Linked DNA regions of Coturnix japonica. The protein of the gene in region 4 purifies or fractionates together with the protein of the main gene of each other region. This does not show direct contact. Links are inferred from orthologs where the notes say so. Each region holds a gene or a part of one and is shown on either strand. Other genes may lie near its edges.

Evidence for each region.
Region 1: the proteins of CDKN1B (region 4) and CCND3 purify together in Homo sapiens (affinity purification with western blotting; 9 studies listed by BioGRID and IntAct, counting the BioPlex papers as one, with this or other methods). This does not show direct contact. The link is inferred for Coturnix japonica from reciprocal best matches to the Homo sapiens genes CDKN1B and CCND3.
Region 2: the proteins of CDKN1B (region 4) and CCNE2 purify together in Homo sapiens (co-immunoprecipitation; 5 studies listed by BioGRID and IntAct, with this or other methods). This does not show direct contact. The link is inferred for Coturnix japonica from reciprocal best matches to the Homo sapiens genes CDKN1B and CCNE2.
Region 3: the proteins of CDKN1B (region 4) and CDK6 purify together in Homo sapiens (affinity purification with western blotting; 8 studies listed by BioGRID and IntAct, counting the BioPlex papers as one, with this or other methods). This does not show direct contact. The link is inferred for Coturnix japonica from reciprocal best matches to the Homo sapiens genes CDKN1B and CDK6.
Region 5: the proteins of CDKN1B (region 4) and SPDYA purify together in Homo sapiens (affinity purification with western blotting; 3 studies listed by BioGRID). This does not show direct contact. The link is inferred for Coturnix japonica from reciprocal best matches to the Homo sapiens genes CDKN1B and SPDYA.
Region 6: the proteins of CDKN1B (region 4) and XPO1 purify together in Homo sapiens (affinity purification with western blotting; 4 studies listed by BioGRID). This does not show direct contact. The link is inferred for Coturnix japonica from reciprocal best matches to the Homo sapiens genes CDKN1B and XPO1.
Region 7: the proteins of CDKN1B (region 4) and CCNB2 purify together in Homo sapiens (affinity purification with mass spectrometry; 3 studies listed by BioGRID and IntAct, with this or other methods). This does not show direct contact. The link is inferred for Coturnix japonica from reciprocal best matches to the Homo sapiens genes CDKN1B and CCNB2.

The regions. Positions count from the first base shown.
Region 1 is NC_029541.1:4,749,139-4,753,161, forward strand, and holds the start of CCND3 (G1/S-specific cyclin-D3), read right to left. Parts: upstream 2,801-4,023; 5' UTR 2,699-2,800; coding exon 2,501-2,698; intron 990-2,500; coding exon 774-989; intron 1-773. UniProt on the Homo sapiens protein: Regulatory component of the cyclin D3-CDK4 (DC) complex that phosphorylates and inhibits members of the retinoblastoma (RB) protein family including RB1 and regulates the cell-cycle during G(1)/S transition.
Region 2 is NC_029517.1:114,473,130-114,477,125, forward strand, and holds the start of CCNE2 (G1/S-specific cyclin-E2), read right to left. Parts: upstream 2,801-3,996; 5' UTR 2,744-2,800; intron 2,450-2,743; exon of another isoform or gene 2,380-2,449; intron 988-2,379; 5' UTR 964-987; coding exon 950-963; intron 859-949; coding exon 744-858; intron 588-743; coding exon 528-587; intron 1-527. UniProt on the Homo sapiens protein: Essential for the control of the cell cycle at the late G1 and early S phase.
Region 3 is NC_029517.1:20,819,641-20,823,759, forward strand, and holds the start of CDK6 (cyclin-dependent kinase 6), read right to left. Parts: upstream 2,801-4,119; 5' UTR 2,686-2,800; exon of another isoform or gene 2,576-2,685; intron 2,133-2,575; exon of another isoform or gene 2,022-2,132; intron 1,155-2,021; 5' UTR 914-1,154; coding exon 681-913; intron 1-680. UniProt on the Homo sapiens protein: Serine/threonine-protein kinase involved in the control of the cell cycle and differentiation; promotes G1/S transition. Phosphorylates pRB/RB1 and NPM1.
Region 4 is NC_029516.1:66,307,377-66,311,659, reverse strand, and holds the start of CDKN1B (cyclin-dependent kinase inhibitor 1B), read right to left. Parts: upstream 2,801-4,283; 5' UTR 2,276-2,800; coding exon 1,801-2,275; intron 1,395-1,800; coding exon 1,273-1,394; 3' UTR 1,264-1,272; intron 450-1,263; 3' UTR 1-449. UniProt on the Homo sapiens protein: Important regulator of cell cycle progression. Inhibits the kinase activity of CDK2 bound to cyclin A, but has little inhibitory activity on CDK2 bound to SPDYA. Involved in G1 arrest. Potent inhibitor of cyclin E- and cyclin A-CDK2 complexes.
Region 5 is NC_029518.1:10,154,300-10,158,465, forward strand, and holds the start of SPDYA (speedy protein A), read right to left. Parts: upstream 2,801-4,166; 5' UTR 2,433-2,800; coding exon 2,400-2,432; exon of another isoform or gene 2,285-2,399; intron 2,146-2,284; coding exon 1,905-2,145; intron 1,686-1,904; coding exon 1,627-1,685; intron 1,370-1,626; coding exon 1,284-1,369; intron 843-1,283; coding exon 671-842; intron 1-670. UniProt on the Homo sapiens protein: Regulates the G1/S phase transition of the cell cycle by binding and activating CDK1 and CDK2.
Region 6 is NC_029518.1:5,218,714-5,222,561, reverse strand, and holds the end of XPO1 (exportin-1), read right to left. Parts: coding exon 3,826-3,848; intron 2,838-3,825; coding exon 2,703-2,837; intron 2,604-2,702; coding exon 2,444-2,603; intron 2,366-2,443; coding exon 2,269-2,365; intron 1,615-2,268; coding exon 1,468-1,614; 3' UTR 501-1,467; downstream 1-500. UniProt on the Homo sapiens protein: Mediates the nuclear export of cellular proteins (cargos) bearing a leucine-rich nuclear export signal (NES) and of RNAs.
Region 7 is NC_029525.1:5,820,795-5,825,044, forward strand, and holds the end of CCNB2 (G2/mitotic-specific cyclin-B2), read right to left. Parts: intron 1,981-4,250; coding exon 1,840-1,980; intron 1,243-1,839; coding exon 1,132-1,242; intron 820-1,131; coding exon 712-819; 3' UTR 501-711; downstream 1-500. UniProt on the Homo sapiens protein: Essential for the control of the cell cycle at the G2/M (mitosis) transition.

The DNA.
Region 1 (4,023 bases), on a different chromosome or scaffold from region 4:
CAGCAGCAAGGGAGGTCCCCATATAAAGGGGTTCTCTGGTTCTATCAGCTAAGCTGAATTCAGATGTTAGGATCTTTTTTTCAGACAAGAAAACATTCTGCCTTTCCAAGCCTATGCAGCTACTGCCCAAGTGTCTGATGGGACTAAGCAGAGCAGCCCTGCTTTAACTCAAGACCTGGAAGCAGGGCCTGGGAAGCAAGCTGCCAGCATTGCTATCACCTCAGCAGCACTGGCAGCACAACAAGCCTGATCCTCAGTCATCCTGCACCCACCCATTCTGCTGGGTAACAGCTCCTAAGGCTTCACTTCCCCAGCAGGGTGCAATGCAGCTCTCCTGCCATGCCCAGGAGCAGGGTGCAAAGCAACTGGAACGGAGCAGAGGGGCACGTTCCAGTGCCCGCCTCCTGCTCGGCCGCAGAGCAGACAGGGCCTTTGTTCCCCACAGCTTGCTCAGGAGCACACTCAGGAGCAAGCTCTGTGCTGGCAGCCAGCACATAAGGCACAGGAAGTTTCTCTGTAATGCGGAGGTGACAATCCTGCTTCCCACAAGAGGGAGAGAGGCTGTGCCAAGGAGAGAAAAGTCTCCACCTACAGACATCAAACCCACCAAGCCAGAGAGGTGAGAAAGTTGGCTGGGGAACCAAGAGGAAGGTTGAAAAATGGGACAAAAAGCACAAGGAGACACAGGGACAGGTATGCTGCCAAGCAGCAGCACGCAGGAGATAGAAGGGCGAGGGAGGGGCTGGAGGTCCCTTAGAGATAGGGGTGGTTACCAGGAGCTGCTGAGGCGTGATGGAGTTTTCTGTGTAGATGCAGAGCTTCTCCACTGTAAGGGGCATGGTTTCCCGCAGCTTGGAAGCCAGCAGCATGCACACTGCACCCAGAAGTTGCAGGTGATTCTTCCGCACAGGGACAGAAGACAGGTAGCGATCCACGTAATTCATGGCCAAGGGGAACACCTCCTCCTCACATTTCTGCTCCTCACACACCTGAGAAAAAACAATTAAGAAAAAAAAAAAAAAAAAAAGGAAGCTTTAATCAGCACCGGACTCCCCAAATCCTGCCTGCACCAGCTTCAAAGGGTCTGGTCAGGATGGTGTTTCACACTTATCTGCAGGGCTGTGACAGCACCACAGCGCAAAGGTGCAAATGAGCTACAAGCATTAAGTCTACAGCTTCCACAGTAGCAACAGATTCTACCAAAGCTGTAGACATTCATCTTCCTGCAGAAAACAGAACTTGTATGTGGTTAGAGAGAACCCAACTGCCCTATTTGCAGCCTCCTAACTCCTCCTGCAGATGCCTGCAGCCAGTTTATCAGCTTTGGAGAGCTGGGACGATGGGGGAAAACTCATCCTGCCAGCAGCACCCAGCTGGAGAGCAGCTTGTGCAGCATCCCCTGCCAGCCCCCAACTCTTCCTCAGCCACACTGGCACCACCGCCATGAGCAGAACACCAGGGCTTTCCATTCCAGCCCTCTGCTCCCATCTCAGCACCACAACCCTGGTCACATTCACTCCTTTTTCCCAGCACAGCCATACAAATACAGCAGTTTCTCCTCACGGAGCACTGTGCTCCCCCAGCAGCAGCCCTGCATGGGCTGCACACAGCGCTGGGAGCAGTGCCAGGTGTCTCCTACTTTTTGACAGCCTTACGAGCTCCCCAGCAACAGGCTCCAAAGCAGCGTTTGTCTAACTAACCTCGGAAAGGGAACTGCAGGAACAGGACAGCGCTAATAGGAAGAACGACAGACAGACTCGCTAAAAGCACCGTGCCCCATCGTTTCTTTTTGCCAGCACTGGGCTCCATCCAAAGTCATCTGCTTTTTGCACAACGTTCTTTCTTCCCGTGCTGGCTGCACGCTCTGGCCGCCGCACCGAGAGGTCCCCTAAGGCGTCCCGCACTGCAGCGCATCCCACAGAGCCGCATTCGTTTCTCATTTAGGGAAGGAAACGCCAGCGATATTATTTCCCCCTTCTAACGAGGCGTCCTCAGCCCCGCGCAGGACACGCGATCCTGGGCACCGCCACCGCCGCTCAGCCCCAACCCGGACACGTTACGGAGCGCGGTGCGGATGGGGCTCCCACAACGTTACCGGGAGCGCGTGTGGGTGCACAGGCTGCGGCTCGGGGCTCCGCTCCTCCCGCTCGGGCGATCGCTTCCAGCACAAGCGCTGCCCCTTCGCTCCCCCCCCTCACCCCGCAGCCACAGCCACAGCAGCACGGACAGCACGGACAGCACGGACAGTACGGACAGTACGGACAGCACGGACAATAGGGACAGTACGGACAGCACGGACACGACTCCTCCGCCGTCCCCCGGCCGCCCCGCAGGCTCCACGAAGGGCCGTGCCGGGAGCCGCTCCGCTCCCCGCCTCTCGCCGCCTCGTTCCCGCCAGCGCGGGGACTCGCGGGGAGGGACGACGGGCGCACGAAAGCACCGGAGCCAGGGCCAGGAGCCGAGCGCGGAGGCGGAGAGGAGGCGCCGACGGGGGCAGTACCTCCAGCATCCAAGTGGCCACCATTTTCCTCATGTAGGGCTTGATCTCGCGCTGCACGCACTGGAAGTAGGACACGCGGGGGCTGTAGCGCTCCTCCTGGCTCAGCAGGTTCTGCAGCACCCGCCGGTCCCCCAGCAGCTGCGGGTCGCGCCCGGCGCGGGGGACTCGAGCCGCGGGCTCCACGCACAGCAGCTCCATGGGCGCGGGGCGACGCGGCTCCGCTGCTGCGGCCGCGACACGCCGGGAGCGGGCGGCGCGCGGGGGGGCGGGGCCTCGGCTCAGGGGGGGCGGGGCCTCGGCGATCGCAGCCAATCGGCGCGCGGCTTTGATGGAACGCGCCGAAAGCCGGAGCTGGACACGCCCACCCCCCCAAGTGGCGGGACGGCAGCACGTGGGGCGGCCGCGGGAACCGCTGCCATGTTGGGGGGAGCGGCCGTCCCGGACCTTCCCGGACCCGTCTCGGCCCATCCCGGACCCGTCTCGGCCCATCCCGTGGCCGTCTGCCCCCCCGCCCGTTTAGTTTGCGGGAGCTGATCTCGGCATTGACCCCAGCGAGGCCGAGGTGCACGTGAGGGTGAGGGATGTCCGGGCAGACTCCAAAGGAACAGTCCCCGGGCTCCCAAGGGATGCACGTCAAACCCGTAATTACCATTTCTAACAGTAATTTTTCAGCATTTACTCCTATTCCTTTCCCCGCTTTTTGTGGCCAGAGTCTTTCAAGGCTACACAAATAATCAGCCGCGTACACAGCTCGGTGCCAGTCTGTACTTACGCTGCTGCCTTCCACAAGTTGCCCTCACGCTGTGAGTGGTGCAGCTCCTCAGCAGATAGCAGCCTGTGTCTGCACAGATAAGGCCCTTCAGGGCTCTGCTGTTTGTTCAGAACAGTTAACAATCGTTTGGAAATACTTATACAAATTGTACCTGAGCAACTTCTTCAGGAATTGTCAGGGTCGCTCAAGTCTTTCTAATGAATTTGCAATGTGCTCCTGCAGCACAGGGTTTGTTATGAGCTGCTACTTCATTCAGATACTTGCAGGTGGCACAGCAGCAATTGCTTTGTGGCATGGGAAGCTGAAGGCAGCAGGATACACGCCCGCCCATGTTGCTCCATACAGTTGCAAAGTGTCTACAAAAACTGGGATGTCTCAACTTTGCTCCTGACACTTCTAACTGCCTTATCCTTTGAAATGAAGCACCCCTGCAGCACACGCTCCTGTAACACATCTCTGCATGGGGCACTTATTCAAATACAGAGTGTTATGCATCACATTCTGGCTGCGCTGAGGGAAGATACACAGAACTGGATGGAGATAAACCCAAATCCAATTCACACCAGCAATCTACCTGCAGCCCTGGGAAGATAATTACTCATACTCTGCAGGAAACAGAATGATGGAGTTTGTAGCAATTGAGGACTCTTGGGATGCAGCGTCATCTAAAGAGGATTCAGCTGGAACAGCTCTGACCAATTCTGCTGGAGTTATTCTGCAGTTATACATCTGTACGTATGTTTAGGGTAAG
Region 2 (3,996 bases), on a different chromosome or scaffold from region 4:
AGCAAGAGAGGCAAGACGAAGACCACTGTAACAACAAGGCATGTTGCTGGTCCCATCTACTTATCTATGTGGAGGGAAAAGAAAGGAGAGGGTGGAGGTCCTGCTGTCTTAGGGGAAGTTCTGCAACTTGTTATCTTCCAAGTACTCCAGGGAGGAGCCACCCATCTCAGCTCCAAAGCCTGATACCCCCCCAGCTGTGAACTATCTCTCAGCTCGCCAATGCCAAATACTCAGTGTCTTCAAAGGAGTCTGAAGTCATTTCACGCAGAAAGCTTCAGAGAAAGAATTCTAGGTTGGTTCAGCTAAATCTGCAACTTGTCTCATTGCACATGATACTTCCCTACATGTATTGATTAAGCACATGAAGCATATGCAAAGCTGTAATGGCTGACAGCCTTCAAAATGGTGACAACTGAGCTTCAATTACGGTCTTTGGAAAGAGGGAGATTCCTTATACAAAGGATAACAAAACCTGCCGATGAACACAGGAACATTTCCTGCAGAGCTTTATATCGAGGTAAAATTACCTTAATTTCATATTGATGTTTCTTAGCAATTTTCCCATCTTCTTTCTTCTTAATCTCCTGCTGAATAAAGAAAACACAGTCAATAGGTTGACAATGAGCAGCAAACCCATCTCTAACAACACAGCAAGCTGGTGCTACTCCTTTCTGTGGAGGAAAGGTGACCCCCATCCCAGTGACCAGAATAATGTGCAGTATTAAGTCAACTGAATGGGTCACCTCTGCTGTTCTCCTCTTCCTGGTCTGGAGAAGCTCCGGTGCCTGCAGCTCACGTGGAGTCTCTTCTTGACACAGCAGCGGCGGCTGCTGCTGCTGCTTGGCCTGCAGTCGGCTGCTGCAAGGGGCAGAGACACTCAGTGTTAAGGGAGCAGCAGCTTTGAGGGGAGCAAAGGGCACGTGGGTGTATCACCATGCAGACAGCTTACCTGCGTCTTGACATCTTCGGGCGGTAAGATCTGTCTACCTGGACCAAAGGAATAACAACCAAATTAAGGTATATTCTCAAAGTTGTGCCCTAACACAGTGCAACTGTGTTGCTTTGAGTCTCACATGGCTCAACAACCCAAGCAGGGCACTGTTATTTGACCAGTGCAAGGCACACCTTGCACGATATCCCTGTGCTTCACAAGCACCCACATCCCTTGGGGGTGTTACGATGCTAAACCCAGATCCCCACAGCGCATCGCTGAGGGATGGACGCTCCTTTACACAGCTCCTATGCCTACCTGAGTGTGGGGGGGAAGCAGCAAAACGGCCTTTCCCATGTAAAAGGGCACAGAGGGGGCACACACACACGTACACATCTACACAAAGGGGGATCCCTCCCGCACCCCCCACCTGCCGGGCCGGGCCGCCCCTCAGCGCGGGTTCCGCGCCAATTTGCTGAGCGGGGAAGCAGAGGAGGAGGAGGAGAAGGAGGAGAAGGCGGCCTCTCAGCGCCGCGCCTCGGCCGGCCCCGGGGCGAGCGGGGCTCAGGCGGGGCTGGTTGGGGGGTGGGAAGAAGAGAACGCCGGCCAAACTTGGGGTCCCCGCGGAAGGCGCCGATCAACCCCAGGCGGGGCAGCACGGGGTGTCTATTTGTGCTGCAAGGGGTATCTGTGCTGCACGGGGTATCTGTCTGTGCTGCACGGGGTATCTGTCTGTGCTGCACGGGGTATCTGTGCTGCGGGACCTCGGCCCTCCCTCCCTTCCTCTCGCTCCCGCCTCGGTGCGCGCCGGGCTCCCTCCAAAACGCGGGAGGGTTCCGGGACGGCGCCGCCACCTCACGGGGATCCCGCGCTCACGGGGACACCCCGACACGGCGGGGACGCTCCTCTCAGGGGACACGTCCCTGTGTTGAACGGGGGCAGCGCGGAGCCGAGGCCTCGCCCTGGGGGACGCGGCCGGCCCGGAGCGCCGCGGGGTGCGGGCGGGCGGCAAACGGGGTCAGCGCGCCAACGGCGCTCCCCGCCCCCATCGGCGGCGGGAGGGAGGGAGGGCAGCGCGCCGGGACGGGATCCCGCCGAGTGCGGGGCTGAGCGGGGCTGAACAGGACGGTGCGGGGTTGAGCGGGGCGATGCGGGGCTGAGCGGGCTCGGATGGGCGCCTGCACCGCTCCGCCAGAGCCGCTCTCCCTCCAAAACGGCGACCGGGCGCGCATGCCGCCCGCCGCTCCCGCCCGCGCCTCTGCAGCACCCGCAGCGCTCAGAGCCGCACCGCCCCGCACCGATCCGCGCAGCTCCAGCACCGCACCGCGTCCCCAGTGCCCTTACACCCCTAACACCCCTAACATCCCCAGCGCCCCATGCCTCCATCCCCCCCATCCCGCCATCACCGCACCCCGCTGACTCCTTCCCGCCCGCTGCTCCCCGCTCACCTCCTTTGCTGCCGCCCGACCCGCGCTGCTCCCCTGCCGCCGGCGCCAACCCGCTATATAGCGCGGCCCGCGCCCGCGCTGCGCATGTGCGAGGGCGGCAGACAGCTCCCCCGCCCCGCTGCCCCAGCGCCGCCCCTCGGCCGCGGCGCCCACCCCGGCCCGGCGGGCATCAGGAGGGAGCCCTGAGGGAACCCTACGAGCACCCTGCGGGCATCCTGCGGGCACCCTGCAGTCGCCGCCGCCCGCCCGACCCCGGCTCTGCCCGCCTCGGTTTCCCCCGTGAAGGCGACCCGCGGTAGTACAGGCAGGAATGGCCGCTCCGCCGTCCCCGCCCGTCCCGCCATCCCCGTCCCCACGCACGTACCCATGGCCCCGCATCACCGTCCCTGCCCGCCGCCCCGCTCCCGCAGACACCCGCTGTACCGGCCCCACGCTCCGCGCACGCCGCGCTCCCGGCGAGGCCCGGCCCCGGGGCGGAGCCGCCGCCTCCATCCCGCCAATGGCAGCGCGCATCGCGGCCACAACGTGCGGCGGCGGCGGAATGTAAACACGCGCCGCGCGCCGCTCCCGCCGCAGCACCAAGGCGGGGCCGGGCCGCTCCTCCTGTCAGCGCGGCTCCACAGCGCGGCCAAACGCAGCCGCTGCTCCGGGCGCCACGGACTCGGCGGTGCTGAGGGGAAGGAGCCAACCGCCGGGCACCGCCTCTATGTCCCGCCGCTCCACACGTCTGAAGCAGCAAGAAGTGCATCCAACTGGGAGAACGGCCTCTCCTTGTTACCTGAATAAATCAGACCGAAAGCTGCTTTCCCGTATTAGAAAGGCTGTGCACGGGTATTCTGCTCCAACAGCCAAGTCATTCACAAAGATGGTCTGCCATTATAGGAGTAATGGAATCATAACATACTCAAGTTGGAAGGGTCCCACAAAGATCATCGAGACCTGGCTTCACACAGGACCACTCAAAGACCAAATCTTGAGGGAAGGGATGTTAGGGGGAAGTTCTTCACTAGGAGAGTGGTTAGGCCCTGGAACAGGCTGCCCAGGGAGGTTGTGGATGCCCCGTCCTTGGAGGTGTTCAAGACCAGGTTGGACGGGGCCCTGGGCAACCTGATCTAGTAAATGTGTATGTTTGGTGGCCCTGCCAGGCAGGGGGGTTGGAACTACATGATCCTTGAGGTCCCTTCCAACCCGTGTCATTCTGTGACCAAATCTTGTTTGAGATCATTGCTCAAATGCTTCTTGAGAAGAAGTTGAGTTGAGAAACAATGGTTCACGGGAAGGCCTTCTCTGGGCCCTAATTAGAAAAGTCAAGCACACCCCAATGCGACACCCATCCATTTCAGATTGAACAGACAGGACAGAAGGCTGACACTTTTAATAGGCCATTTATTGAGTTCACGTCTCCCCACAGTGCGCGTAACGCACCATGGAAACAAAATACAGAAGACCACTTCAGTAAATACACACCGTGAAGCAATGCTACTTTTTGGCAAGGTGCTGTATTTTGTCAGCTTTCGGCTTGTGTTAGACTAGTAAAAATAAGAGCGAGACATTCTTCCATATCAAAAAGACTGCTACAAATTCAAAGTGGCTCTGGAAAGAAGCTGCCGTATATGC
Region 3 (4,119 bases), on a different chromosome or scaffold from region 4:
AGCCAGTCTCTGCATGGGGAACCTGCCCCAGAACAGAGCTCATTCACTCAGAGCTTACACAACCAACACAACAGCAAGGAAACCTGGAGCCACTGCCACCATGCTGGAAGCAAGGCCTGCATTCATCCTGCTGCACTCTCGGTAGCACCACCAGCACCTCCTGGGGTATTCACCAACAAACAGTACTCACAGGGCCTGTAAAGTTCAGACTTAGGCATCTCCTCCTCTTTAACACAATGATCTGCAAACATTAATAAAAGCATCTAAAGAAGTGGAATGCACATCCCACTAATGCTACAACCATGATCTCTGGGTAATGAATGAGACGTTAAGAATCAGCTGCAGCTGTCAGAGCTAATACCTATGACAAAGGGAGCCCTTGGGTTTTCATTCCCTCTCACGCCTGAGGAAATGGTGTGTATGGGGCTCCTTGCCATCCACCCCAGCACTGCTGTCACACGCCTATGCCTCTGGAGATGGGTGTTTGTGTGTGTGGGAGGCAGCACGGGGATGAGGTGAGCTCTGGCACAGCCCCGCGGCCTGTCGAAACCTCAAACCACACTCCATGTGCATAAAGGAGCTCTCGCTCTTCCCACAAAGCCCATCGGTGAGCCGGCCCTCCACGCGCCCAAACCTGCTTTCCCAGCACATGCAGCACAGAGCAGGCCCCGCTGCCTCACCTGACCACGTTGGGGTGCTCGAAGGTCTCCAGGTGCCTGAGGACGGCCACCTCCCGGATGGTGGACAGCGGCATGCCCTCCTCGCTGGTCTGCACCCGCACCCGCTTCAGCGCCACGAAGCGGCCGCCATTCTTCAGGTCACGGGCCTTGAACACCTTCCCGTAGGCCCCCTCGCCGATCTCAGCCACGCACTCATACTGCTGGTCGGCCAGGTTGGTGCCGTCCTTGTCCATGCTGCCGCCACTCCGCTTCCTCCTGGGATCCAGAGCAGCTCAGGACAGCTCTGCTCTCTGCTCGCTTCTGAAGCCGGCACCTCACTGCGGCTCAGCCACACGCCGCCACCTCTGCCTGAGGGGCAGCAGGAACCCCTCGGCCTCCTGCTCCGCTGCACCGGCCCCACTGAGCCTCCGCTGGCGGTCACCAGAAACGATCATACAGTCTTTGGGAGCATGGTCTGTGCGAAGGCAGATAGATCTGGAGGAGAGACCAAGCAAGAGGGAGCAGTCAGAACATGGTGCCATTGTGCTTTACTTCACTTTGTTACTCTGCGCGGCTTAAAACTGAGAAAATGATGCTAGCACAGCAGAGAGCTGCACGCACAAAGGAAGGTGCAAACCAGAGGCTGCCAGGCAGCGTCACTGCACAGCTGACACAACCTGGGTCACTGCTGCAATGTGCCCAGGCTGCAGCACGGCCAGAGCGACCACATGGTTGGGCTTCCCCCAAGCAATGGGGGTTTTCTGAGAGATGGGCAGAGCGTGACTCTGAGGGACGTGGGTGGTATCCTCCATTAGACGACAGAATCTCTACACTCATGGGACAGTTAAGTATGGCAGGCTCCTCAGGTTCCTTGGTTCCTTGGGCATCAATCACATGGAGCCCCTGAAGCCCATCCCATGCTGTACAGCCAGTACTCACGTGCAAATGGCAGCACTGAGAGGCTCCAGCTTGGAGCTACTCTACCCTGTGCTGTGCATTGCAAGAATACAAGAACGCACGTTCCTGCCTCGTGGAGAACTGCGCGTATATATTCACACATACATGTACCGTAAGATACCAGCATGTTTCTGAGCACCGTTTGCTGGAGCACAGACGCACGGCCCTCAGCAGCCTAATGATCCACTACTAGGACCCGAGCGTGGCTCCCAGCTGACTGCAGCGGGACGGGCGCCGGGTGCGAGCCTCGCTCCGGAGCAGCGGCTGCCCTGCACGGCGTGGGGCTGCGCCACTTCCCCTGCGCCCCGATTCACCCCCACCGCCACGGCACGGCCACGAGCAAACGCCGCTCACAGCGGCACGGCAGCCCTTCCTTTCCTCCTCGCCCATTCATAACCAACGCACCCACACGGTGACCGGGGGCCGCATCCCCCTACACGCCGCTCTAGCAGGAATAGTCCCTGCAGCTCGGCGGGGATCCCCTGACGGCACCTACGGCCGCGGCTCGCGGCTCCCAGCCCCGCCGTTGAAGCGCCCCGAGGCGGCCCCGCTCCCCGTCCCCGCTCCCGTCCCTTTCCCCCCCGCCGTGTGGACACCTGCCCGCGCCCCGCACTCAGCCCCGCGCCCCCGGCCCTGCGGAATGGCGCCCCCCGGCGGCGGGCGGCGCGTCGCGCGTGTGCGTGGCGGCGTCCCGGCGTCCCGGCGTTCCGGCGGGCCTGGCTCCTCGCGGCCGCAGCGCCGCCACCGCCGGCCGCCTTCCCCCGGGGCGTTGTGGAGCCGGGCCCCCCGCTCGACACCGCTCGGCCCCGCACGCGGCGGGGGCACGCTGCGATCCGCCGTCCGCCCGGGGCCTCGCAGGGCCCTCCCCTCCCGCCGCCCCCCGCACGCCGCGCTGACCCCGCTCCGGCCGCGCGTGGGCTCGGGGCCGCGGCCGCACACACACGGGTTCCCCGCGTTACCTGGTGCGCGCCGCGGCCGCCCGATCCGCCGGCGGCTCCCCAAATAACCCGCAGTCCTTTGGGGGGGGGGGGGGTTGGGAGGGAGGGGGTGAGTCCTCCCTAAAACAAACCTCCCATTGAGCGAGGCGGGGTGGAGAGCCGGCCGGGGTCTGCCCCTTCACATGGCGATGTCTCCGGCAGGTCCCGGCCGCCCGGGCCACACAGGTAGCTGCTCCGCCGCCCGGCCGCCCCCGGCCCGCATCCCCTCGGCGCGGGAGGCAGCTCCCGCTCGGCCCCGGCCCGCGCCTCCCACCCTCCCCCCCCCGACCCCCCCTTTCCCCGCCGCCCGGGGAAAAGGAAAATCGCGGCCCCCGGGGAGCAACGACGCCGCCGCAGCAGCAGCAGCAGCAGCAGCGAGCCGCCCGCAGCCCCGCGGCCGCAGCCCGCCCCGGAGCGGCCCCGCTGCCCGCCCGCCCCGCTCCGCTCCGCCGGCCCCGCTCAGCCCCGCTCAGCCCCGGCGGTGGCGGCAGCGCTCGCTGCTTTTCTGTTGTGTTTTTTTTTTTTTCCTCCCCTCTCCCGAAGCCTTTTTCCCTTTCTCTCCCCGCTTTCCCACGCTGGCTGAATGTGACTTGACCCCGTTTCAAAAAAGTTTGACATAGTGCTTCAACATTTCCGCATTCCTCCCCGACTACAAAGGCTGCAGCCGCCTCCTTCTGCTTTCTGTCTCTGCTCTCTGTCTTCACACTCAATGAAATCCTTCATCTGCCCCTGCCAAGCCGCCCGCATACCGCAAGGGTCGCGGCGAGCGGCGCGGCTCGGCGCGGCCCGATCGCCCCGGGGGGTCCCGGCGCTGTGCGGTGCGGGGCGGCAGCGCGACATGCGGGGAGCTGGAAATCACCGCGCCGGGCGATGGGCTTTTTCCTCCCCGGGAAATAACCTCCTTTTTTTTTCCCCTCTCCCCAAAAAATCACTTTGTTTTTTCCCTCACCCCCCCCTCCCCCCCTATTTTTTTTCCCCCTCATAATTCCCCCCCCACCCCCACCCCACTTTTTTTCCCTTCTTTTTTTCCCTCTCCCCCCTTTTCTATTCACACAGCACTCACGCACTTTGGGGAACCACCAAGAAACTCTCGTTTTGCTGAAGTAATCCCCCCAGCTGAAGTAACCCCCTCACCTCCCCGTGTTCCTTATGGCACCTGCAAATCGTACTAAAATGCACCGCAAGAAAAATACGGCAACGCTTCACCCATGTGCTCCATCTCCACGTGGGGAGCCTCATTGGCAGCTCTGTGCCTTCCAACACACGGCACGGCCCAGGGGTGGCTCCGGGGGCAGCCCTTGTCAGGGCTGAACTGGGAGAAAGTGGATCCAGGTCTCCTTCAAATGGGAAATGTGATTTAACGAAGTGAGTTTATAACTCAGAAAGTGTGTGCTGTATGTATGGCATCATACGCTGCGTGATTTCCAGAAACTAAATATTTATATATAGATAGATCTAATACTGTACAAACAAATAGAATTCCTATCAGAAAGAAGCATGTAATTACTCCATCTGGATTTGCAGCG
Region 4 (4,283 bases):
GTAAAGGGACAATACATCTTTAAGGAATAAAAAGCCTACACTGCTTCTCTTCATTTCTTTGCTTGCTAGATGGCGAAAGCAAGTCTCCATCGGTCGCCCTCTTCCACTCCCCCCCCCCTTCCCAAAACGTTTATGTGCTACATAAGGTAAAAACTATATACACAGGTAGTACAATGAAGCAAATAAGGAAACACCTAATTGCACAATGCTACATCCGATGCTTTTAGAGGCAGGTCTTTTTTTAAGAGTGTCTAAACTTTTAGTGTTATTGTCTGCTTTTTTTTGTTTGTTTTGCTGAAGTTGTTTTTCAGTGCTTGCACAGGGTCCCCATCCCATGGAGACCGACGATATGTATTCATCTCTACTACGACTTTTTTTTTGTTTGTTTGTTTGTTTATCTTCCTGGCTTCACCGCCCCCCGATGAGCAAGGAAACACGAGTCCTCCGCCCTGCAACGGGAAGAAGACGGGGAGAAGACATTAGAGAGGCTGAAAGCGACGCGCTCCCTTCAACGGGCTCGTACCGCTCCCCGCAGCAGGGAAGGCCCGGCCCGGTCACGGCCCGTGCGTCGTCCCAGCCCCGCGGCACTCTAAGCCCGGCCGCCCCAGGGCCGTCGGCCGCCTCCGCTCGGAGCCCGTGGGGCCGGGCCGCCACCGGGCCGCGGAGCTGCCCCCGCCCCGAAGGAGCGGGCGGTGGTGCGCTATTTGCATAGAGGCGAGGGCTGACGCCTAACCCTAACCCCCCCACCCCCCACAGCAGGAGTAATTTGTTGCAACTTCTGCTTTGCAGCTTAATCTCTTCGGCACAATCGCGAACCGCGTTCGCAAACCTTCCCGCTAAACCCCGGCCCCGAAACCGCCGGCGCGATGTACCACCTCCCTCCGCCCCAGCCCTCGCGCTGAAACAAAACAACAACAAGAACACCACACACGGCTGCCATTAACCCGCTCCCTTCCCTGGAAACTCAGCCAGCGCCTGAAACTAAAACCACAACGACCGGGGAGGAGAAAAATAAAAAAAAAAAGAGAAAAACAACACAAAACCGGAGCACAAGCTCTCCTCTCTCAGCCCAAGAGGCTCCCGCTCAGCCCCGCTTTTATCCAGAGCCCTCCTGGGCCGGAGCTCCCTGCCACGGTGGGACAGTGCGAACGGCGCCGAGGCGGGGCAGCCCCCCAGCACCACGACGCCGCGTGAAGCCCGGTCCCGAGCTCGGGGCGGACACCCCCGAGGCATCCTAATGCCCAGAGCCCGAAGGGAACCTACTCGGGGAGTTTACGTTTGATGTCGTCTCGGGCTCGATTTCTTGGGCGTTTGCTCCACTGAACTGGCACTGGGGGAGTCTTCTGAAACCTCCTCTTCTGTTGTGTTGGCTCTTTTATTTTGAGGAGAGGAATCTAGGAGGGGAAAATTAAAAAACAGGGGGGGGGGAGAAGACCGGTTTAAAACGCTGTCCCGCAAGGTGCTCGCTCGGCACCCGGGGGCGGGAGGAGAGACGGGGCCGGGGCTTATTCCCGCACGTCCCCGCATCCCTACGTCAGCTACCGGGCTACGCGAAGGTGGGCGCGGACGGGCTTTTCTCTGGGCAAAGAGACGCGCGTTTTAGTTTCGCCCCGACTCCGGCGCTCGGAGCGTCCCCTCTTCTCCTCCGCAGAGGGGCTGCCCGAGGGGCGCCACTCGGTCCCGCCGCTCACCCGCGGTCCCCGCCGAGCGCGGAGCTCCGGGCGCTCGCGGGCGGCACCGGGGGCGTTCGGGCGGGAGGAGGCGGGGGCCGGGCCCGGCGCTGCCCGCGGGGTACGTTACCGTCGGCGGCGGGTCTTTTCCTCTGCCCGGCGCACTGCTCTGCAAAGTCCGTCTGACCGCCAGCAACACTGGTCTTCCCGCCTGCACAGTGGGTATCCTCTGAGATTCCCTGAGAAGAGGCGCAAATTGCTGTTTGGCAATTCTTGTTTTCATCCAGGCTCTGACAGACGATGGACTTGCATATGGCTTTGGGTAGCCTCAGTGGTCTGAAGGACAAGTCGGGCGAGCTCCCCTTCTCCACGGCTTGCCACTCGTACCTGCCTTCCAGCGGCTTGTGGTTCTGGAAATCGAAATTCCACTTCCTCTGGCATGCCTCTTCCATTTCCTTGCGGTGCTTCTTCAAGTCCCTGTTTAACTCTTCGTGGTTTATCGGCCCGAAGAGGTTCCTGCAGGCCGACGGCTTCGGGTACTCCGACTGTCGCGCCTCCATGCGCTCCAGGGTAGGGCTCCCATTAGAAATGCGGACGTTTGACATCTCCCCCTCCCTTTCTGCCGTCGCCGATGGCGCTGGGCTTTCTCGCGGCTCTCCCCGCTCTTCCTCTCCGCTCCTTACCCGCGGCCGCTCGCAGGTTCTCCTCCGCGGTCTGTCTCCGTACGGCCCCCTCTCTGCGGCCCCGCCTCGGCCCGCGGAGGAGAGGCGGCGGCGCGCAATTGCATAAGCGCCGGGCCGGCCGAACCCCGACAGCCGCCGCCGCCGGGCAGCCCGGGCGGCTCCGGAGGGGAGCGGCCGAGCGGGGAGCGGCGCTGCCCTCCGCGGCCCCGGGGGCGGCCTCGCGCTGCCGTCGGCACGGCCCCACCGCTGCCCGCACGGCCCCGCCGCTCTCCCCACGGCCACGTCGTACGGGCGGAGAGGGAAAAAAAACAAGGCGAGACGAGCCCTTTTCTCAGTTGCCCAATATGGCGATTGAAGGGAGGTTGACGAAGGAGAAAATGATTGACAGGACGAGTCTATTTAAACAGCGGAGCCGAGCCATTGGTTACGGCGGCCGGCACCGCCCCGTCGGCACGGCCATACCTCGCCGCCGCCGCCGGCTCTAAAGGTGGCCCTGGCCGCCGGCCGCCCCTCGGCGGGCGGGCAGAGCGTGGGGGGCACGGCACGGCTCCGCTCCGCGCACGTGAGCCCGCCTCCCCCTGCGGAACATAAGCCTGGTGAAAGTCACGCGAGTCGAGGGGACTAGCTGCATTTTGACTCGTTGTGGCTATCGCTCTGCTTGCACAGGGTTGGGCGGGCTGGGAGCTGCGCTCCGGCTGAGGCGGGGGAGAGGGTCACTGCCCAGCATCCTCGTAGTGCTGCCCGCAGGAGGAAAGGGAGAAAGCGAGGGGTGGCTTCTGCTGCACTGCCGGCAAGGAGGGCCCAGGTGTGGAAGGAGCTGTAAGAATTCTCAGCAGGGAGCTGTATTCTCAGTAAGCAGGGGAAAGAGAATGAAAACCTTCAAGTTTGTGTGTTTTGAAAGGTTAGTTGAGCCAGGAGTCATGGGCAGGGATTTTTGAGCTGTTTTTCTGATTGCTGCAGCAGGTCCGCTGGAGTTAAGAGCAGTGCAGGGTTCTCCTCTGGGCTCTCCTTGTTCACACTCACTCACACTACAGTCAGCATCTCTTGCTCAGCAGGACAGCCCCACACACTGCAGGATCTTTTCAGACACTGGAGGTTTGGGACTTCCCCAGGGCCCAGGTAACCTGGATACTACAGACCCCACATACCAAAGTGTCTGGCCTGGCACCCTCCACAAAGTCCAGCTGTCCAAAATCTTGTGGCCTTAAAGCTTTGGAGCTTTTGCCCCATCTGTACTCAGACACACACTTTGCTTCAGGCCTTGCAGTTGCAGTGGGCCACCAAAACCTACCCTGTAGTTGGTGCGTTTTGAACTGGAGCCTCACCTGTGCAGGCACTGGAAAGGGAACAAGATCAGCATTTAATGCTTATCCCCAGAGTATGGTTGTCTGTGGGCCTCCTTCCCTAAGGCAGCAGCCCCCTGCCTTGCTCAGCCTTCTGTCCTGGGTCAGCCTCTTGTCAGCACCGAGTTCAAAAAGGGATGTGAGCATCCAAAGAGAAAAATAAAAACACTTAAAAAACACAAGGTTGAAATAAAATGTCAGCCCTGCTATTTTTGTTTGCCAGAACTTTTACCACAAGTTGTTTTCCAGCTCCTTTCAGCAACCACAGGATCTACCCATTCACAGAGACTTGAAGCTGACATCCTGATGTCTGCATCTTTAGGTGTTTGCTGTTGGGATTTCTGGGTTGTTGGGTTCCTTTGCTTTGTTTTTTGAAGTTGCAACTCTGTAGAAGAAAAAAAAAAAGCCTGTGTGAGGTGGCAAAGTGGGACCTACTCATCTGCTTCATTCGAGGGCTTCTCTTTTTATTCTCCAGGCTTTCCTGTCTTTAACTTAGCCACCAGAGTTTTCCACTTCTCATGTGAGGTGTGGGACACTTGGGTTGTTCCCTTTAGCTGTGCACATGAGTGGCTATACAGCAGGAACAT
Region 5 (4,166 bases), on a different chromosome or scaffold from region 4:
ATCCCATTCCCAGAGATGAGCTGCTGAACGGATTTTCCACCAGCTGTAATGAACGTTATGATCTTCAAACACAGCAGCGCTTTTTCAGACAGACAGATGCCATCTGGAAAGCAGGGAATGCCTTTTTCCCCCAGTACATTTGTAAAATAGAGGTTGTAACAATGCATTAACAAAGCGCGTTAACAGCATGTCCTTTTGTTTTTGAAATGCAAAGAAAAACCATTGCCTGACCAAGTCAATTCAAGTTACACTGTTAACTCATAAAAGAGCCAAATAGCACCTCAGGTGAAACGTTAAGGTTTCACTTTGGGTACAGACTTGAAATCTGTTAAAGTGAAGATGCATACAAAAAATTGCTACAGTGAATGACTTTTAGCAGCTAATAATGTATCTCAAGTAAAATTCTTTGCATAAAGCAGAAAGATTCTTGTCCTTAAAGCTTGAAACAGTAGCATAACAGAATAGTCTAGCTTACCTTATAAGCATTGTTTCAAAGATTGATTGTATTTTGAATGCAGAAGAAAAAAAAACGATGGAGGATAAGCTCCATCTTTTCCTTCCCATGGCTTATCTACTCACTCTAGGGAGGAAATTGTTAGCGTGGAGCCATCCTGTGAATTGCTATTAATTGTTGCAGTTTCAGCATCTACAGTATTAAAACTGTCCCTACCTCTTCACAGCAACGTCTGCTTACAATAGCCCTGTAGTCAATTCTACTCCATAGATGATCTCTTAACTTTAAGAAATCAGGAAATAGCTTTCTCCAGTTTTTTCCCAGAGCCCACGGGAAAATCTCATACTTTGATTCTTCATTGTCTTCTTCCACGTTATTTGCCAGATACCTTGAAATATATGTTTGTGCCTGTTATTCAATCTTGAATCGGTACATGAATGTGAGTTCTAACACTAAAAGACACAGTAGTTATTTTTCCTAATATTTTGGGAAGTTTTAGCAAGTTGTTCATCATTATGAATCATTTCAGAGCAAACGACATGAAAGCTTGCAAAAACATTAAACGAGGTGTCTTATAAGAGAAACATGAGACATTCCCATCTCTCATCTACTGTCCTGTGTTGATTTTACTGCATATTTATTTTAATGCACACAAAGCTCAGAGATCAAGAGTTCTGTAGGCAAATCTAATGTGAAGATCATGTTTCTTTCCTTCATATAGAACCCAGAGCACTACAAACTGGTCATGTCATCTTACTGTGTATCAGAGTCATCAAAAAGCAACAAAGTAATGCCAAAACTTTGCTAATAAAACTAGATGAGTACTTACAGAGCAACAAAGAAGTTGAGCCTGGTGTGCTCCTCCGTTGTGAAGTTAGCCCTCTTGAAGTAAACAAATGTCATTGCCAAAAGATACTGTTGTAAAATGTGAAACGTCACATTTATTATTAAGTATTAATGTATTAATTCGATATAACACTACGGAAAACTCTTGGAATGTTTGTCTCACACCAAAATGCTGTGTTGTGTCTTATCAACAAGGAAAGCTTAAATTGAGTTTTCTCAAGGCTCCCATAAAGATGTATTAGGAAAAAAACAACTGATATCATAGTATCAAGTGATTAAGAGCAGACTTTCACTCAAGGTAGATTGCATTAACTACTAACATTTACCTTGTCTGCAATTTTACAGCAGCAATCCATCCATAGAAAGTCTTGAATTAGATCATCATCTACAACAAAGATGCTCGTCAGCACATCGGTTTAGCCTCTTTGCATTTAACTTAACCATTAAATATACCCTGGAATTTAACAACAGAACACGTTTAACCTAAGGCACGGCTGTTAGTACCTATATCAACAGCACTCCCCATATTATCACTGAGTTTACAAAGCATCCTTCCTTGAGAGTCCTCCACAGTTGAGTCAATCGGTATCTAACAGCGACCTACCGAAGAGCTTAAAGAAAGCCGTCATTTCCTGACGCTGAATAACGAGACACGACGCCGCTGGGTGTCCAGAGGTGCCTTTCGGAACCCTTTTCTCACACATTTCTCGACGGTTTCTGGACGAAAGCCGCTTCGCTCTGACCGGCTTTTTTTGCTGCTGGGTCCTGGAGGCGCTGGGCTTTAGGTGAGCAGCAGGAGGCGTGTGACACACCAGGCTGTGTCTCATTGCGGCAAGCAGAGGTTCCTGTGGGAAGGATTGAGTTAGTTACAACAACTGCTCCGTGCTGTTCAAACCCAGCAGCCGCTGATACAATCATCAGCTGTATCAGTACTAGGCAGCTGGTTTTCCTTTAGCTCCTTTGTAACCATAAACACGAAGATACCAGGGGAAGCGTCAGGAAAGCTATTTTCCATCGGGATGAAGTGGCTTTACTGTTTCAGCAGAGCCCACCGGAGGGCGGGCTGTGTGGAGGGCTGTGACTCAGCTGCCACACTTACGATAAAGCTTCTCACGAGAAACAACAGTGACATTCGCTTCCCGCCCAACGAGCGCCGTCACACCGACCACCTCAGGCACAGCCCCGCCTCACCTCACAGAACAAACAGCCAATCGGTTCTTAACTACCCCGCCCGCCGGCTCTCCCACGGAGCCCTGCCAGCCAATCAGACGAAGGCACGGCTGTTGCTAGGTAGGGAGTGGGCTGGTCCCAGCGGCCCGGTGCCCCCCCCTGCGGTAAAATGGCCGCCTCGCAGCGCTGTGTGGCGCTGGTGCTCTAACCACTGTAATAAGCTCTACCCTCCATAAAGGCATCACCGAATCACCAAGGCTTGAAAAGACCTAAAAGACAGGCTGAGGGAGTTGGGTTTGTTCAGCCTAGAGAAGAGAAGGTTGCGGGGTGACCTCATTGCAGCCTTTCAGTACCTGAAGGGAACTTACTCCCAGGAGGGGAGTAAACTCTTCAAAAGGGCTGACAATAGCAGGACACGGGGAAATAGTTTTAAGTTAAAAGAGGGAAGATTTAGGTTGGATGTTAGGGGGAAGTTCTTCACTAGGAGAGTGGTTAGGCCCTGGAACAGGCTGCCCAGGGAGGTTGTGGATGCCCCGTCCTTGGAGGTGTTCAAGGCCAGGTTGGACGGGGCCCTGGGCAACCTGATCTAGTAAAGGTGTATGTTTGGTGGCCCTGCCAGGCAGGGGGGTTGGAACTACATGATCCCTTCCAACCCGGGTCATTCTGTGATTCTGTGATCATCCAGTCCAACTATTCACCTATTACCAATAGCTCCCACTAAACCATGTCCCTCAACGCAACTGAAACCTGGCCCAGCTTTAACGTTACCAGCTGTCTAGTCACACTGCAAAAGCTTCCCTCCATTTTAACAAGATGCTTTCAGAAAAAGAAGCAATAGTGAAAAGATGTGATTAGGCTGATTGAGCATCAAAAGAAGGCAGGGCTCCACACGAGGCCAAATTGTCTCACGGCAGGAGCAGACTGGGATGCAACAGGGAAATGTCAAGGTACTCTATCCTCCTCCTTTCCCAGCACCTCTGTATGATTTGTCTCTATCCAAGGACAAGCAGATGTTCAGTGTGGCCAAGTGCTGAGTGATGTAGAAAATGAGATGTCAGGACCAGCTGAGGGAACTGGGTCAGTTCAGTCTGAATTCTTCAAAGAAGAATCCTTCAGGTCACCTCCTGACCTCCTTTCTTTCTACAGCTGCCTGAAAGGAGGCTGCAGGGAGGTCTGCTCTCTTTTCTCAGGTGACACATGATAGGATTGATTGGTAGGATTGCAAAACATAAAGCTACAATAATAACTGTGAAGTAGATACATTCTTATTCTTTGCATCGTCTGATTTGTATTCCGCACAGTGCCAGGTAAAAAGAGGTTACAAAGCAGATTCTAGAGGTATTGCTGTCCACTCTCTGTAAACCCTTTTGCACAGTCTCCCACCTCCCAGGAGTCAGGACTCAGCTGTAATACAGACCAGCCTTGTAACTTCATCTCAAGACTCTGAGGAAACTGAAGTTGTGAAGGGTGCTCTGGCCTCTCTTTGGAGGTGATGAGCTTACTAATGCCAACCTAGAAGCATTATGTATGTTTGCAAATGAACAGTTGTTTTATATTCTTGAGTTGTGTATCTTACATGCAGGTCTCTACTGGGCACACAGTAAGAAGTTCTTTAACAGGGTGAAAACAAGGAATCAAAACTTTACCAGGTTGTAAATCCTGTGCACTATAGAGGACCTAACCGGTTCTCAGCCTG
Region 6 (3,848 bases), on a different chromosome or scaffold from region 4:
ATAAATGGAAAGAACAAAAAATAATGAAAACCCATGGGATACTTTAATGTCAGCTCTTAGAGAACAGAAGTGAGATGCTGTAAACATGGGGAAATCAAGACTGTACACCATCTTAGTGTTCACACTGAAGTTTTCTCACCTGTATTTCAATTTCATACGTCTGTGAAAATTATTTAACTACAAAACTTTAGGTAGAAAAATAACTGCACATCTGGTCTATATGTGTTATTAATATGTACCAGTATGAATTTCTAGTCAAGATACAGTTCAATAACTCTTTGGAATAGAACACAAAGAGTACATATATTGAGAGCAAGAATACCTTATTACTGGCATTCTATAGCAATGTAGTATGGAGTATTTTTAGTCATGGTGTTAAGTCAAAACTACACTTTCAAATAGAACCCAACTTGTTTCATGTTAGCTTTCAAGCTCAGCCTTGAGATCAGGAGAAATCAGAAAGAATGGTAACCTAGACCTCAAGGACCATTTCCTATGCCTTCAGGATACAAACCTTTAATACGATCACAGCATTTTCATCCAATAAAAGAATAAGCCGAAGAAAGAAAAATAAATGTAAACCAAGTTTATTTTGCTTTTAAGTAGTGTTCTTTAAGCACTACAGCATGGTAAACAATGTAAATTAGTATAAGTCATCTCAAAAGCCAGAGGGTTTTTTTATTTTATGAGTAGTTAAAAAGATGCAGCCTATTCTAACAGGATAAATATTTTAACCATTTCACTTCGAGTTAATGAAGGCTCACAAATGAGCAACACTCCTCATTGAGGAAAACAAAAAGCTGTTGTCGACAAAGCGACAGCACACACACAAAAACAAAAGAACTGTGTAAAAATAACTAACTGTACTGTGTTCCCATACGCTTTAGAAGTTGCTTTACAATGGGATGATATGCACATGATCTTGCTGCAAACTTGCCATACAACTTGCAAATACATGTAAGCCTAGCCTTTACCCACTCAAATCCAAAAAGCTGCTAATTGATCAGAAAAATTGCAGCACTATAATCCTCTGCTTAACAATTAATTAAAACTGTTTTACTCATTACTTTTTCTCCTAGACTGTAGAGCAGGCTAGAAGGAAAATGATCCCAAATTAAAAATTGATACTCTTACAGGAAATTGTATAGTTTTGCAATATAGTCCTTTACAATTTATGTTTTGCCTATTTTCCCCTTAGCCACAAAAATGGGCATGAAATAATTACTTTGAAAATGCAATAATTTTCAATTCATGCAATTCTAAATAAAGATGACCAAACAAAAGCTTAAACAATGGAAGGATATTTCACAGAAAATTTCTTATACAAAAAACACATAAGAAAAGAGGGCCACTAGGTGACATTTTAATTTACAAATTGGCGTCATTTTGGTCAACAAATATCCAAGTGCCGTTTTCTTCTGTCACAACAAAGTGGCTGCACAGAAAGAAAACTGCAGAACTTGTTTTTTAATCACACATCTCCTCGGGAATTTCATGTGGATTAAGGATGCCAGGTACAGACATCTGAAGTTTATGTTTCTCCTCTTGAGCTTGTCGAAGGGCTGTTTCTCTTTCCTCCAAGAATAAATCTGATGTGTCTTCACCTGCAAATTCCTGCACAATTCACACAAAACCATTACTTCACTTTAACTGCATCAGGAAGAGCAATAAGCTTCTGAAAATATCAAAAACAATGTTGGTAACATCTTCCCTTCGCATCCTTGTCAGACTATTTCTTGTTTTGCTTCCAGCATGTAAGATCAGATTCTAAGACAAAAATTTCTAAGATATTCACCATGCATCATGGTACAGTAACATTGCTTTTTGTTTGACCTTATCATTAAAACAGTCTCTTTACAGTTTTTGAAATATCTACCTAACGTAGCCTGAGAACATCTTTAACATGTACTTTCGTACAATCATCTTTAATTTTAGCATCTTTGGAAAAATAAAAGCAGAGCACTAGTCTGTCAACTTTCAAAACACACCCTAGTCCCAAGCAGAAATGAAACAAGATCTGCTTTATGGCCATTTTAGACCTGTAAGTATGACCAATGTATAAGCAACAGCATGCATTTAAACTTAACCTATACAATTAAATTACACTGAAATGGATTACATGATCCAGTATCTAGACCCTCGAGCCATGACAATTTTAAGTAGTAATAAAATGTATGCCCTATTATAAATGAACACCGTCCAAAAACTTAAAAACATCATCCTGCTACATATTTTTTACAATTCTCTAAGAAACCATGCCAAACATACCTTGATTTGGACCAGGAAATCCCTTAGGTGCTCCTTGAAGGCAGGAATATCCTGGTTTAAACTGAAGAGTCCTGTTACAAACAGCTTAACCTGGGCACTAACAGCAAATACATCCATTAGTACTTCAGTATGTAAGTATCCACTCAAAAGTATAAGACAATTACAGGACACTTACTCTTGCAGATGAGGAAATGCAGATTTGAGGAGATTAGCAACGTATTCTTGAATAAACATTTGGTTGTTCACTGGATTTCCAGGATTCAATGGAGTACTTATTTTTCCCTCTTCTACCAAGTTGAACATGTATGCAAGGATTGATGCATGCATTGTCAAACCTGAACAGATCAAAATTATACATGTTATTATTCAGAACAAGAAATGCAACATTACTATGATGTTTGAAAGGCTTGTTTTCACCTGGTTCACAATCTTACCAGCAGTGTGCGAAGTATCTGTTACAACAGAGAAGATGTGCTGAAGGATATCACAGAAATATGTCTGATAGAAACTCTGAGCAGCAGCCTCTTCTTGTGCAACATTTTGTAGCAGAGTGTAAAGTATCTGAAGTCCTGAAAAATTTGCATAAAAGAAAAATGAACCAAACTATACCAAAAGCTCCATTCATCCTTAAGTCTTTTCAAAGTGAGACAAACATCCCAAGAAATTCTGACAAGCATTGCAGTTTAAACTAATCATTCAAGCAGCCAGTAGAGGGCGGCAGCCACATTTATACTGAGCACCAACATGGTTTTCATTATTAGAAGGCAGAACCACGAAGAGCCAACCACATGATTTCACTGGTACAAAAGTGAGAAACTCTATGAAGACATACTAGTTAATTCAGGAAGGGAAAAAATCACACCAACAGTTACCTTAATACCTGAAATGCAACACAAAGGCATCTTACAAACATAAACAATTAGCTAGTATTGAGGTAGCTTCAAAACAATCATTTTTATCCTGTGGTTGAGATGCTTTCAGAATTTATGACATTTACACAGCTTTTCCTAGCCTTTCTTGGGAACTCTCATCCTAGAGGACATTTAATTACTCAGGTGTGCTAAAAATAGCTTCTCAGTGAAACCTGAGATGAAGTGTAACTTGCTGTTGTTCAAAAGGAGTTTTCCTTTAGTCTGGAGTACTTCCCTTGCTTTATGTCATAGCTGTCTCCCAGACCAAATTCACTCACCATTTTTCTGCTGTCTTTTTCAGTAGTAACTTAGAGACTGCCTAAGTGAGGGAAGAAGTTAAACACTCCAAACAGCACAATGAAAGCTGAAGCAGAAAACCAGCTATGAGCTGTTGCATCGGTTCAGCCATTTCAGAAAAAACCTCACACTCTATAAAGAGAAAGCACGCAGAAACAAATGCCCTCTTCTGTGAGTAAAAACATCCAACTATTTCAGTACGTTAATGGGTGTCTAGTTGTCAACTTGAAATTGAGATAGGAAAATACTGTTCTTCTGCAGCAAATACAGTGTGACTGGAACACTATATTTGACTAAAAATGCAAGAAAGCAGCAATCTACATGCTTAACACTTAAAACCTCAATTTACCTGTATCTGCAACATTTCTCATT
Region 7 (4,250 bases), on a different chromosome or scaffold from region 4:
TTAAATGTATTTTAAGTACTACATCAATAGAAAGGCATGAATGAAGCAAGGCAAAATAACTGAGGCACTTACAATGCTTGTACTCCTTTGAGCATACCATTAGTTGTGACTATAGAGGTTTTTTGCTGCCTCTGCTCTTTCTTTAGGCATACAAAGATAGAAAAATGAGTTGTCCATCATCACTCTAACTACGTAAACACAAAGCCTCACAAAGCTGTCTCTGTTACAGCCTACTTCTTTCCCAAGCCTGAAGTCAAACTACTTTTTGAATACTTCTTTGAGACAACACACTGCGATAAACTAAACAACAAACATCCCTTAAGGTACATCAAGGGACAATTAACAGCCTGCCTCTCTTCAAGAGTGAGAACAAATTACTAAATATAACCCACTATGAAGCCAGATTATCACCAGAAACAACCACAAAGAATAATCACCCATGTCTAGATGCAAAGCGCATCAGCCACCCACTCTGACAAGTGTCCTACCATAACATCAAATGGCAGGCAGAATTGGTTTGTTTTATTTTTTTGAAAGAGGAGCTTTATTTCTAGGTATACAGTTGCAGTACAAAGTAGGTTTAAAACTTGAGAGAGAGTCTGAAATGTTGGTGGTAGGGCTGGAATATTATTTACACAGGGCAGTAGTTTTTCCTCAGTAGGCAAATGAGGAGGATGACACAAAGTGCATATATCATCAGAATATATCTACCTAGGGTTGTAAGAGTGATGCAGCAAGGTCCTTGATAGCGTTACACTTCAGCTGAGGGATTGTGCTGATCTTCAGGAGTTTGCTACTTGCATACTTGTTCCTTACAGCCTGCGGAGGAACAGTGTTACAGGAAGTTTACACACATGCACAGTTCTTAAATCCAGGCAGACGATTTTGAGTTAGTCTGACTGTTTTGCAAACAAAAGAAAGTAAGGGGCAGAAGTAAAGCAGCAGGCAGAGCAGCAAGAGTAGTTTAGATAAAGAGTTTTGATGTTAGTACTCATGAACAACTTTTCAGAGGCTTGTCAAAATAGAATATGCTGTAAGGTAACATATAAAATGTTCATCTAGGAAACCACAGCATGCAGTAAAGGTGACTTTCTAAAGCATCAGAAGACTTACTTAAGTAGATGTACTTACAGTATATTTTGTTAAGTTCTCATTTACTTTGACGACATTCTTGGCCATATGCTTCATTGTCATTGTAAGACTGTCCTCTGCATACCCAGTATAGTACTGCTGCTTGGTACCCTGCAGCACAACATAAGAAATGTGGCCTCTATAAAGGGGGAGAATTTCGCTCAAGACACAATTATTTAAGTTCACTAAAGCCCCAGGTATCAGCTGCTGGCCTTGAGTGCTGGGAGTTGTAGCACTGACAGATAAAAATGCAGATACAGAATAATGTTTAGTATGCAGTGGAAGACTAAACACATCAAAGCTGAGTCACATTCCCGCACCATACAGAACAAAAGGATGCCTTGCAAAAGTAACTAATAGCTGAGGTACGATTCATTATTCACGGTCTATGATTTAGTCTAGCTTTCTTGCAAGCTACAAAATCGGTATCTCCTTTAAAAAAGAAAGTAAACCTAAAACCCAAACCAAAAAGATACAGTTTGCTCTCCTGTCACTCAGTTTCATAAGAAAAAACATCACTGTATCATGGCATTCATATAGGAAAGAGTAAGCTTTATTTTCAGTGGCATCATCATTTTATATTAGCTGTGCATCAGCCAGTCATTTGATCTCCAACAATTCTGCTGAACTATTTCCTAAAGTATTTTTTAAAGGGTTCAATTCAATTGTATGGATGAAAACCCCCATGATTTTCATTACAACCCTTACCCACTTATCGTGGCCCAGAACCTTCTGCGACAAGCACAAGGCAGCAGCTGCGATCTCTGAAGGGTGGTAGTGCACCATGTCGTAGTCTATCAGCGTCAGTTCCATGAGGTATTTTGCTAGTGTATGTTGCTCAGCATCCGCCTACCAGAGCGAGAGTTTGTTAGTCTCGCTCGCATGGTTTCACCTGCCTTATCGTAATAAAATTAACCACTCTGAAGTGTCAACTTACAAAATGACTTGGAAAAACAATAGTAAACAACATTAATGAGCAACTGCCTCAAAATTCTAGACCTGTTGTGTCTAGCAGCCTTTGGAATTTGAACAGTCTCAGGAGCTTTTAACACAAAATGACAGTATTGAGCTCCGGGTGCCCAACTAGGGCTACAAGTGCGCCCACTACAGCAGGCACATCCAGCCCATGGCCCAGCAAACAGTGCAGCCATCTCAACTCTTCACCAGAGCAGCCCCACAGACACCCATTGCTCAGCAACAGCCAAACCATCAGTGCTCTATTAATACTGTGTTGACTGAAAGCGTGCTTAGGGAAAGCAGTAGTGATTCAAGTGATGGCAGGTAATTGTATACATTTTGATTGGCTAAATGCACTGCTCCAAACAACAAAGAATATGCAGCTGGGCTTTCCATTTTGATACAGGTGGCTGAGAATAGGTCTCAAAAACTCACTGATTTGTGATCACAACACCCTTTTCAGTTGATATAAATACACTACGTGCACATTTTCAAATTGAATAAATGGAGTTACAATCAGATATTGAAAACAAGAAATCTGATCACACCTCTTTACCAGACTTCTGTAAGACCTCTTATGAGAGAAAAATAATCCTTCACTTCACAACTCTTGTTCCCCACTGGTGAAAATGCACAGCTAATGGTGATGGCTACAGTGAAGGAGACCATTTTCTAGCTGAGAATTTATTCTACCAAATAATGCTATTGAGCTCTTTGTACCTGCTGTACTTTTCCATGGAATTTAATAGAAGGCATTATTTTTGGAGTAACTTATGCTTATTCAGTCCAAGATAATTCCTCTTAACACAGACCAGGCAAGCCAAAAGGTTGGACACCCATGCTCTAGAGGGTGGGGGAAGACTATAAAATGCATTAAAAGAGATTTTCATTAGGAATTCAGCTAGCTTTAGAAGTTACACAGAGATCTATCATAGTAAATCTCTGAGTCCAACTCAAGTGCCTGTACACCAACATGTGGAGCATGGGGAACAAGCAGGAGGAAATGCACGCATGTGCATGACTACAGGGCTACGATGTCAACAGAATCACTGAGATGAGGAGGGATGACTCTCACAACTGCAACACAGGAATAGATGGGTATAAACTCTTTCAAGAGGCGGGGGAGAAAGGGGGTGGGGGGGTGCTGCTCTCTACATCAATGACCACCTGATGTTCCTGGAGCTCCACCTACAGATAAAAAAGGAGCTGACAGCTTATGGGTTTGGGTTAAAGGGTAGGAGACATCGTAGTGTGGGTCTGCTACAGGCCACCTGATCAGGAAGACTGAGTGGATGAGGCCCTCTATAAACAGATAGGAGCAGCTTCACATTCACAAAACATGGTCCTCATAGGGGACTTCAACCACCCTAATATCTGTTGGAAGGACAACACAGCAGCGCACCAGAAAACAAGGAGGTTCCTGGAAGGTGTTGAAAGGGTGCTCACCAACAAGGAAGGGTTGGTAAGTAACGTGAAGCTCAAGGGCAGCCTTGGCTGTAGTGACCACAAAATGGTGGAGTTCAAAATCCTTAGGGTGTCAAAGAGGATGCACAGCAAGCTTGTTACTCTGGACTTCAGGAGAGCAGACTTTGAAATATGCAGGGAACCACCTAGCAGTGTGACATGGAAGGAAGTCTCAGAGGGAAGAGGAGCCACCAAGAAAGCTGGTCGGTATTCAAGGACCATCTCCTCCAAGCCCTGAAGCAGTGCAACCCCATAAATAAGGAGGCAGGAAAAAAGGCCAGGAGGTCTCTAAGGATCAACAAGGAGCTTCTGCACTTATGTAAGTTCAAAAATAAAGTCTATGGGGAATGGAAGCAGAAACAGGTTACCTGGGAGGACTACAAAGTTGCCTGAGCAGACAGAGATTAGGTTAGGAAAGCTAAAACCCAGACAGGATTATACCTAGCCAGTAACATCAAGGGGAACAAGAAGAAATTCTATATATACTCTATATATACACGTTTTGTCTTTCATTACCCAGAAAGCAATGGAGCACTGGAAGAGGTTAACAAATAAGTTGTAGAGTCTCCCTTGTTAGGGGTACTTGAAAGCCACCTGGGTATGATACAGGCAAGCAGCTTCAGCTGCCTCTGAGCAGGGCAAGAATCTGGACCCAATGGCCTCCATGGTCCTTTTCAACTACAACCATTCTGCAATTC